Linked DNA regions of Canis lupus familiaris. The protein of the gene in region 1 purifies or fractionates together with the protein of each later gene. This does not show direct contact. Links are inferred from orthologs where the notes say so. Each region holds a gene or a part of one and is shown in the gene's direction. Other genes may lie near its edges.

Evidence for each region.
Region 2: the proteins of CDK14 (region 1) and CDKN1A purify together in Homo sapiens (affinity purification with mass spectrometry; 3 studies listed by BioGRID and IntAct, counting the BioPlex papers as one, with this or other methods). This does not show direct contact. The link is inferred for Canis lupus familiaris from reciprocal best matches to the Homo sapiens genes CDK14 and CDKN1A.
Region 3: the proteins of CDK14 (region 1) and CCNY purify together in Homo sapiens (affinity purification with western blotting; 3 studies listed by BioGRID and IntAct, with this or other methods). This does not show direct contact. The link is inferred for Canis lupus familiaris from reciprocal best matches to the Homo sapiens genes CDK14 and CCNY.

Annotation. Positions count from the first base shown.
Region 1 is NC_049235.1:16,409,649-16,413,769, forward strand, and holds the start of CDK14 (cyclin-dependent kinase 14), read left to right. Parts: upstream 1-1,321; 5' UTR 1,322-1,418; coding exon 1,419-1,509; intron 1,510-4,121. UniProt on the Homo sapiens protein: Serine/threonine-protein kinase involved in the control of the eukaryotic cell cycle, whose activity is controlled by an associated cyclin.
Region 2 is NC_049233.1:5,931,229-5,934,092, forward strand, and holds part of CDKN1A (cyclin-dependent kinase inhibitor 1), read left to right. Parts: intron 1-1,830; 5' UTR 1,831-1,841; coding exon 1,842-2,286; intron 2,287-2,864. UniProt on the Homo sapiens protein: Plays an important role in controlling cell cycle progression and DNA damage-induced G2 arrest. Involved in p53/TP53 mediated inhibition of cellular proliferation in response to DNA damage.
Region 3 is NC_049223.1:1,649,626-1,653,125, reverse strand, and holds part of CCNY (cyclin-Y), read left to right. Parts: intron 1-2,828; coding exon 2,829-2,886; intron 2,887-2,969; coding exon 2,970-3,089; intron 3,090-3,500. UniProt on the Homo sapiens protein: Positive regulatory subunit of the cyclin-dependent kinases CDK14/PFTK1 and CDK16.

The DNA of each region.
Region 1 (4,121 bases):
AGCCGTGGCTGCACCACGTTTTAATAGAATGAAGACGAGGTGTGTTTGCTGCCTGAACTGTTTGTTCTGGGATTTTCATAAAGCCTCTCTCACCCCCACCCCCCTCCTTTTTAAAATTTATTTTTTGAGGTGGGGGAAGAGGAGGTCAGAATCTTTTCGGCCTCTAAGTCTTCCAGTTTGGAAATATATTCTAAAATTGGTGAGGGGACGAAGGACTTTCTGTTTGCTATGGACTATGGCCCTGGGTTTTCATATCAGAAATTGGCTGCATGCACGTTCCCATCAGCCGCGCAGACTGGCACGGGGGCGAAGAAGGCCGCATCCGCCCTGCCTCGGGGGGTTGCAGTCGACGCTTGGACGTTGGCGCTTGACTCCCCTTAAAAAAACGGCCCACTTTTCCCTTTGCATCTTTCACTTCACAGCCTTCTTGGCAAACTGGGGGGGGGGGGGAGTCCCCGCCCAACCCGAGTGGTCCCCAGGCCTTTCCATCCCCGTGACCCAGAGGCAGCGGTGGCGGCCACCCCCGCCCCCCAACGCCTCGCTCATTCCACGCGCGTTCGTGGCGAGGGGGAAACCACTCCCGCAAGCGGCCCTGTGGGCGGGGGCCTCCCCGCGGCGTGGGCCCGTGAGCCCGAGCGCCCAGTCGGCTCGCAGCCCTGCGCGTTCGAGGCCCTCGGCCGGCCGGGAGCTGGAGCGCGCGGGCGGGCGGGGCGCGGCGGGGCGGGGCGGGGCGGGGCGGGGCGGCCGGGGGGCCGGGAGGGGGCGCGCGGGGGCGGGGAGGGGGCGCGCGGGGGCGCGAGCCGGGCGGGGAGGGGGCGGGCGGGGAAGCCGCCGCCGACGCGGGCTCGGAGCCGCGGGCCGAGGTCCCGTTGGGGTCCGGCGCTCGGGGTCCCCTGTCCCCTGCCCGGGAGGGGCGGGGCGGGGCGCTGCGGGCGGCGGCTCCGCGCCGCGCGGCTCTTTCTCGCCGAAGCCCGAAAGTCGGGGCTGAGAACTTCTCCCCGCCCGGGCCCCGCGCCCTCGGCGACCCCCGCCTCCCGCACCCCGTTCCCGGCCGGCCCCGCCCCGCCCCGCCCCGCCCCCGGCCGCGCCGCCCCCACTGCCGGCCTCCGACCGCGCGGCTCTCGGTTACAAAGGAGGGAAAATGAGGCGGGCGGCGCGGCGCGGGGGCCCCGGCACCACGTAGAACGCCCCCGCCCGGCCGGCCGCGGCCCAGGCCCGCTCCGAGCCTGCAGCCCGCGGCCGCCCGAGCCGGAGCCCGAGCCCGAGCCCGAGCCCGAGGAGGAGGCGGAGGCGGAGGCGGAGGCGGGGGCGGGGGCGGGGGCGGAGGCGCCGCCTTCTCCTCGCCGCGTGCCCTCGCCGTTGTCTGCGCTCCGCTCTGGACCAGTCTGGGGAAGTTGGCGGAGCCCCGCGTCGCCCAGATGTGCGACCTCATTGAGCCGCAGCCGGCCGAGAAGGTCGGCAAGATGAAGAAGTTGCGGAGAACTTTGTCGGAGAGTTTCAGCCGCCTGGGTGAGTGGCGCGCAGCCCCGGGCCGCCGGCGGTGGCCTCGGGCGCCGGCTCCTCCTCCCCGCGCTCCGGGCGCCTCCGCTGCGGCCGCGGCCGAGGGTGCGCTGCGAGCGGGCGGGCGGTGGGGCGAGCCGGGCTCGGACCCGCGGCGGGGGCGGGGCGCAGGGGGCGCAGGGGGCGCAGGGGGCGCAGCCCTCTCCCTCCGGGTCCGGGGGCCCGTTTGGGGGGGACCGTAAGCCTCCGATTGGGTCCCCTCTCCTCGCCCCTAGCGCTCGGGCTTTCGCGCCCGCGGCGGGCAGGCGACGGGACGCCCCGGGCCCCGCTGCGCTCCCGGCTGCGCGCCCGCCTAGGTCACTTGCTATTTTTTTTTTTTTTTTTTCTTGCGCGCAGGCTTTGCTCTGAGGTGTTTAGTCAATAATTCAGCTTTGGAAACTGGTGAAACGTTGAGCCGTGCCTTGGTATTGTTTAACCCATCCAAGCTAAAGGGAAGTGGGACAGCTACCTTGGGACCTTTTGTTCGGTACTTCGGGTCCTCGAAAGCGAGATTTGGCAGTTCCGTCCCGAGCTCTCCGGGTCTTTCCATTGCAGCAAATAAAATGCGCGCTGTGAACTTCTCGGAACATTTAGGAAAAAGTCTCCCGAACTTCTTACATTTGCTACGTCTCCGGAGCTATTGTCTTTCAACCAACCAACCGATCTACAAATAAAAACCGACTGAGAAATGTTTAGGATATTTAAGAATAAATCCATGTCACAGACCATCACAGGGTGACAACTCTATTATGCGGAATGGGTTTGTTAGCCTTTTAGGGTTGGCCATAGAAAACCCCTTTCAACCTGAAGACGGTAGCTGCTCTTTTCTAACGTTATAACTTACATTTATATAGGTAACTGTTTTCAGGAGGAAAATCATACAAGCACTAAAAATAACCCCTCAGATTCCCTAAGAAACCTTCTAGCCTTTGTTTCACTTGTTTAACATGTCATCCATGTTAATGAAGGTGTTAATGGAAATTAAGCATAAGGTACTTAATTCCTTAAAATAAACCCTTGGGGTGCATTTGAGTATTGTAGTCATCCTTCCATCCCTTCCTTTAAAAAATCATTATATAAGTGCACTCTAAAATATGCAAACTTTGTTCAAGTAAGAGAAAATATAGATTAAAAATTTAGCCTCGTTTTCTTTGTTGTCTTTTACTTAAAATTTCCTATTGGTATACAAAATCTTTCCCCAAATGACTATAAAGTTATGGTGTATGGTGACTATAAAGTATTTAATCCTGGTTTTACTTATTACATGTATTGGATATTTGCAGTTTCACTTTTACTTAGTGATGCAAATGAAGTTTGAAGCCAAGGAGAATGTGAGTGAGAGCAAGGTGTGTTGAGTTGGTGTACATTTTTAAGGAGGTTGTTCGGTGGGGACCCAAACCATCACAGAGGTAGCAGGTTCTGGAGTCCATTAAGTCTTGTTCTAAAACACATTAACTGTATATTTACTAATGCTAATGACTCTGTTGGAGCCCTTCCAGTTTTGTGTTAAATAATTCATTGCACTTGAATCTCAGTAAGAAACCAAAGACATTAATTTAAAAATTCCTTATGTTTAAGCAAATTCAAGATTTTGATCGACAATCAGTAAAATTTGTATTAACTACAATGCCGCCAAATGGGGTATTACAGTTAATTGGATTTCCTAGCTTACCGAGACTTAGTGATGTGAAACTCCTTTTGATTCCAACACTTGTTAAAATATCTAGTAGATTTTACTTCCTCCTTCTCAGAAACAGTAGAGTGCAGTGGACATAACCGATTATTTCTTGTATTGATAGAGGGTCATGATTCTGAATAGTGACTCTCATTCTGGAATACTGTAAAAGGAGATGAAGAGATTGTATGTGGTTATGCTTGTATAGCAAACCCAAGGCATATAGCAAGTGGGATTACAGAAAAATGAATCTTTGTTTTCTATGTGTTTTCTTAATGATTTATTTGCAAAATTAAAAAGCAATAAAATCAGTTCGATGATGTAAAGATGTTAAGGTACTCGAGGCTGCTGAATTGAGTTTTTATTTTTATTTTTAAAAATATTTTATTTATTTATTTATTCATTTATTTATTTATTTATTCATGAGAGACAGAGAGAGAGGGAGAGAGAGAGACACACACAGGCAGAGGGAGAAGCAGGCTCCATGCAGGGAGCCTGATGTGGGACTCGATCCCGGGACTCCAGGATCAGCAGGTGGTCAACCCCTGAGCCACCCAGGGATCCCCTGAAGTGAGTTTTTAATACGGAATTATATAGTGAATAGATTAAGGGTGTGGGCTGTGTGTGTCAGACCACTGGGGATTTCCCATCTTGCCACTTGTAGCTATGTGACCTTGGACAGGTCCCTCAACTTTTGAGCTTCAGTTTTTCACGTACAACTCAGTTTTGTTATTGGCACTTGGTGGAATAATGCATATCATGTCCTGTATGGTATGTAGGGCAGACTCAGTAGATGTTCATAATGTGTTATTATCATTATTGGTGATCACATCATATTGACATAATTGATCTTCTAGGTGGGAAGAAAGAGAAGGGAAGTGGCTACTGACTTTACAGTATAAAAACT
Region 2 (2,864 bases), on another chromosome or scaffold:
CAAGCCTCGTATCTCTCTAAACGCTTGCCCTTTAAACTTGGTCTGAGGTCACCTAATGTGTCCTCTCTCCTATAAGCTGTGGGAGGTGGGGTGGGGAGGGGGAGCTGTGGCAAGGGTCCAGGGCTTCCTGCCCCAGGAGGTCACTCAGCAGAGCTTTCACCCTCAGAGCCTGCAAAGCAGGACTTGTCCTCGGGGGAAAAGCCAGTCCCTGCCAAGGTTGCAAAGCCGCTCAGCCCTGGAGTCAGGCCAGAGCAGGGCAGGTAGGTGCCAGCACTTCGTCATGAGCAAACTCACCCTCGGTTTTCCCTCTTCTGAAGTGAAAGGAGAGGAACCAGGTAGACCGGTCAACTCTAATTTTCTTTGCCCGCAAAACGGGTTCCTCAGATGCAGCTAACACAGGCAGAGGCTTCCAGGCTGTCTAGACTTCAGATCACCTGATGTGCCTGGCAGGATGTGGCTCAGCCTGGGAGAAATCATCACCCTGGCCTGCCCTGCCCAGCCCCTCCTCACCTCCAGGCCTCCCGCCTGATGACATCCTTGGGAAAGGCCCCCAGCACACAGCACCTGTCAGCTGCTGTCTGAAGGAGGTGGTGGTGGGGGAAGGGGGGGAAGACTCAGCCAGAACTGAACACAGAGAAATAATAACACTTCTATATACCAGCTTCTATATACCAGCTGCTTCTCTGCCTGTTACCTACGTTAACTCAGTTAATCCTCACATCTGTCCTCTGAGACATTCACTATTACTGTCTCCATTTTACAGATGAGGCAAATAGAGTTGAGAGAAGTTAAGCTATTTGTGCAGGGTCACCCAGCGGAGCCTGGATTCCAACCTAGGCAGTCCTGCTCCAGAGCCCTCACTCTTAACTACAGGATAGAGCCTCCACCTCTGTTCTATTGCCTTGCTAGAAGGGACTCCCTGACCAATTGCTTGAGCATGCTTGCACAGCCCCATTTTTTTATAGATGAGAAAATTGAGGCCCAGAGACATTAAGTGACTTTATTTTTTTAATCTTTAACATTTTTAAGTGACTTATTTTTAACAGATTTTATTTATTTATTAGAGAGAGAGAGAGTTGTGCACAAGCCGAGGAAGAGGCAGAGAGAGGGGGAGAAGCAGACTCCCTGTGGAGGAGGGAGCCCAATGCAGGGCTCCATCCCTCAGGATCATGACCTGAGCCAAAGTCAGACACTTAAACAACTGAGCCACCCAGGCACCCCTTTAAGTGACTTTAAAGTTTATGTAATACGCAGCAGAGCTAGGAATAGATCCTAGGTGGGGTTTTTTTTTTTTTTTTCTTTTTATCCCAAAACCCTGGGGGTACTTTTGAATTTCAGAACAGAATTATCCCACATGGGTATCTTGGTAGAGGGATTCAGGAGGCCAGAGTTGCTGTCAGCCTGCCCTTTCATTTGGGACCTGACCTTTTGGTCCGGGCTGGGGTTGGGAAACTACTGGACTCTGGTAATTCACACCCATGAAGGACACCTCGAGGGGGAAACTCATTGATTTTAGTTGATAATACTGGTGGTAAACAGGACTCCGATCCTGCTAATGCAATAAACTTGTCTTTGTTGACAGAACCTGTCCTTCAGCTGCCCACTCCCCCAGTGACCTTGGGGTGCCAGGATGGCTGAGTTCTGGCCCCATCCGGGGGCTGTGGACTGGGGGCTGGGAGTGGCCTGTGGGGAGGAGATGGTGGAGAATCAGCTGGAAGGACTCAGAGACCTCGTGTTCTAGTAGGAAGCTCCCCTCTGAGCTTGCACAGGAAGCCCGGCCTGCTAGGGCAGGGTGCCATTCCCCAAGTGACCGGGGGCCTTGTGTCTCAGCTGCAGGTGCCATGTCGGAGCCGTCCAGGGACGCCCTGCCCATCCCTCATGGCAGCAAGGCTTGCCGCCGCCTCTTCGGCCCCGTGGACAGCGAGCAGCTGCGCCGGGACTGTGACGCGCTGATGGCCAGCTGTGTGCAAGAGGCCCGGGAGCGATGGAACTTTGACTTCGTCACCGAGACGCCGCTGGAAGGCAACTTTGCCTGGGAGCGCGTGCGGGGCCTGGGCCTGTCCAAGGTCTCCCTGCCTGCGGGGCCCCGGGGGGGCCGGGATGACCTGGGAGGGGGCAAGCGGCCCGGCACCTCGCCTGCCCTGCTGCAGGGGACAGCTCAGGAGGACCACCTGGACCTGTCGCTGACCTGCACCCTCCTGCCTCACTCCCCTGAGCGGCCTGAGGCATCCCCGGGTGTGCCTGGCACCTCTCAGGGCCGAAAACGGCGGCAGACCAGCATGACAGGTGAGGATGGGTGTGGGGAAGGACACTGCAGGGGACTCTCAGAATCCGTGGTGCAGGGGCTGGCCTGTCGGGTTCAGCTGGCTCATCAGGCCCAGAGGGAAACAGGCCAGAGAGAGGAAGTCACTCGGCAGGTCTACAGCCAAGACCAGCTAGCTAACATTTATTGGGAACATTTATTATAGGCCAAGCCCCTTGCTAAGGTGAATTTCTAAGACGGTTTCTTTTTGCTTCCTTCCTTTTTTTTTTTTTTTTTTAAAGATTTATTTATTTGAGAGAGTCAAAGAATGCGAACGGGGGTGGGGGGGTTGAGGGGTGGAGTGGCAGAGGGAGAGGGAGAAGCAGACTCCCATCCATCTTCCTTATTTTTTTCTTTGGCATATGGTTTGTTTGCTTGCTTGATTTTACTATCAACAGCTACTTCCTTATCTTAAGATTGTCTATGTCCCTCATGAAGTGATTATCTCCACGAGAAAGGGATCTGCATCTTTCTTGTTCATTGCTGAATCCCCAGCACCTAGGACAGTGTCTGGCATATAGTAGGTGCTTGATAAAAAAAAAAAAAATCAATGAGCAAGGCT
Region 3 (3,500 bases), on another chromosome or scaffold:
TTGAGAATTTAGATTTAAGAATTTAGAAAATGTAGCATTGTGGAACTTTGAACCTTGACCAGAATAGTGTATCAGTGAAAGTGCAAATTTTTGTCTTGCTGCCCATTTCTCAGATAACAGTTCAAACTTTTAAAAATTTAAGTCTTAAATAACAACGTAATACCATTAGTGAAACTCAGATGTTCTTTCAGACCAATTTTGCATTAGCATCTCTAAGTGATTTCTCAGTTCTTAGACTGCAGTGGATCTCAAAGTTATTTTGTAGCCATAACTGGTAATAATAAGAGCCAGCTTTATTAAGCACTGACTACCCTGATCAGCTATTTATATGCATTATCTCATTTATTTTTAAAAACAGTACCATGAGGTGATACGTTATCTTTATTTTAGAGGTAAAGAAACTGAGGCACAGGGATATTAAATAATTTGCCTAAGATAGCACAGCTAATGAACTGGGGAATTGAGGATTGAACCCAAACAATATACTGAGACTTTTAATCATATAATCTAGTGGGTTAATGGTGATAAATTGACCAAAAGTTAGTGAGAAGAAGTGGAGAACATCCAACTAAAAAAGCAAGTGTTTAGAAACAAGCATGATAAATCCACAGATTATAACCTGAAGATCTTTGGGAAGAAGTGGCATGACCCTGTAGATTTTCTTCTCAATCAGTCATACTGGCCTCACTTCTGGAGCTGGTGATAGATACAGTAGCTTGATAGAGAGGCTGCTACTCAGCTGGGATACATAGCTAGCCAGCTTGCTTGCTTGCTCGCTTGCTTGCTTGCTTTCAAGGGCTTGCACAGGGGTGGGGGTGTTGGGGAGAGAGAGAGAGAGAATTTGAAGCAGGCTCCATACCCAGTGCAGAGCCTGACATGGGGCTTGATCTCACAATCCTGAGATCATGACCTGAGCCAAACTTGAGAGTTGGACGCTTGACTAACTGAGCCACCTTGGTGCCTCTGGGATACATAGCTTTCTTTCCTTTTATTATATTTTAAATATTTGTGTATTTATTTGAGGGAGAGAGAAAACTAGTGGGAGGGGCAGGAGAAGGAGAGAGAATCTCAAGCAAACTCCATGCTGAGTGTGGAGCCCAAAGTGGGGCTCGATCCCAGGACCCTGACATCATGATCTGAGCTGAAACCAAGAGTAGGATGCTTAACTAACTGTGCCACCCAGGTGCCCTGGGATACATAGCTTTCAATGAAAGTGAAAGGAAAATTCATTTCTCAGAGGAGTCAGTTTTCTTCCAGAGTCATTTTAGCTTAAATTCTTAATCCTCATTTTATATTTTTCATCCTGTTTTTATTTTTAAACTTACTTCTGGTGAGTATTTCTCTAGAATGCTGAATGGCTTTTAAGGGTCTGTTATTCATCAGGAATATTGATCAGGGCTGAACTGCCCAAGAAAATGGGGTGCAGGGCCAGGTTTTGTCTTTTACACAGCACCTCGAATATCTTGCAGAGGTTGTTAGTGAGATGAGAACCAACTGGTTCTTCATAACCAGGTCATTATAAAAGGAAGTATAACTGAGTGCACCCAGAAGGAGCTTTGTTTTCAGACCCTGTTATCAGGTCCTGCCTAGTCCTTTCTTTTACTACAGCTCATCTAAAGCTTTATTGGCTGTATTCCCATAGGCTAGTGAAAATGAACACAGGTATGAATGCCCAAAGCTTTAAAAATAATTCCTGTTGTATAAATAGAGTAATAAAAACTTAGCTGTTCAATTAAGCTTTTTTTTCTTTTTTTTAAAAAGATTTATTTATTTTTTTATTCATGATAGACATATATATAGAGAGAGGCAGAGATACAGGCAGAGGGAGAAACAGGCTCCATGCCAGGAGCCCGAAGCGGGACTCGATCCTGGGACTCCAGGATCGTGCCCTGGGCCAAAGGCAGGCGCTAAACCGCTGAGCCACCCAAGGATCCCCTTAAGCTCTTTTTTCTATATTATTTTTATGCAGGCAGTAAATTTATAGAGCAGAAATTGTGGTGTTTACTATGAAAGGTATATGTTAGGGACAGGTCTATACCCTTCTGATATTCACAAGCCTAATAGACTTTGGAAGCACAGACTATGGAATTTATATGCTGTTACCAAAGCACCAGTTTCCAAATTTGGTTTTTAAAGAACCATTTTTAGGCAGAAGTCAAATGACATAAAACAGATGAAAGCAGAGCTTTGCTGGTGAAGTGTGCAGTTCGTCTCTGTAGAGCCCAACCAAACTCAAGGTACTGTCACCACGTTAAATGACATTTTCTGGCCTAGTAGCAACCAACCATTCTTTTATAGGTTTATGGGTTACTGAGTTAAGCTTTTCTACACATCATCTCTTGTTTTTCAATATAAAATTGTGAAACTCTTAATTAACAAAGTGTTTAAGTTGTATGTTCTGAAAACTCCAAATTACTTTCTAGAACATCCTGAATGTTCATTTTTATCAAACTTCTTTCCATTCAACTACTGTATAGGGATGGTTTAAGTATATCCATCCACCTTTGCTGAGAAGCAAAATGTTTAAAGAAGTTTGTCACTTGCTTAGATTTGGTTCATTTGAATACTCAGAAAATGAAAATCTCAGTATTTTTGCTTAGGTTAATTCAACTAAATGTGGTTTATAACCTTTGTTTCATAGACTGTTCAGACAAAAATGGTTAAATATTATACATAAGAAAATTACTTGTGGATAACCAATAGCATCTCCTACATTTAACATTGACTTTAGTTTCTTGAAATATGTCAAATCAAAATATATTTTTATCTTATTTTGAATGGCATTCTTGCAGAAAGTAAACTCTATTGTCTCTTATTTTCCCCACCAGGGACCCAGATGGAAGGATGCTCTTAGATATTTTTGATGAAAACCTTCACCCTCTTTCGGTAATCTCCTCCTGATGTTGTTTAATTATTTCTCTTTTGTTTTTATTGGGTGGCCAGTCATCTGAAACTCTTTCCTTCCCCAGAAATCCGAAGTGCCACCAGATTATGACAAACACAACCCCGAGCAGAAACAGATTTACCGGTTTGTTCGGACACTGTTCAGTGCTGCTCAGCTGACAGCTGAATGTGCCATTGTCACCCTGGTGAGTGCCTTCATGATGACTGCAGCGATTCTGTAGTTCGCTGGCAGAGATGGTAAGCAGAGAGTCTTACCAGCTACCTTAGGGAAACTACATCTTCGCCTTCAAGGTTGTCTTTGTTGTTGTTGTTGTTGTTTTGGAAGAATACATAATGGATCCCCCAAAAGAGGGTGTGAAGTCCATTCCACAGTCCCCACTGAAAGTCAGTTATAAAATCACATTCAAAAACAATAAATGTCCAGGTTTCCTGTTGTTGATTCTGTGCAAAGATTTTAATGACATTAATAAGATCCGATGGACACATATATCCTTTGTGAATACCTGTATAGGAAGACGTGCTGTGTATTACTGCCTTCTCTTTTGTGATTTTTGTGTCAGTAATGTGTAAGATATTCACACACAATGTGGACATAT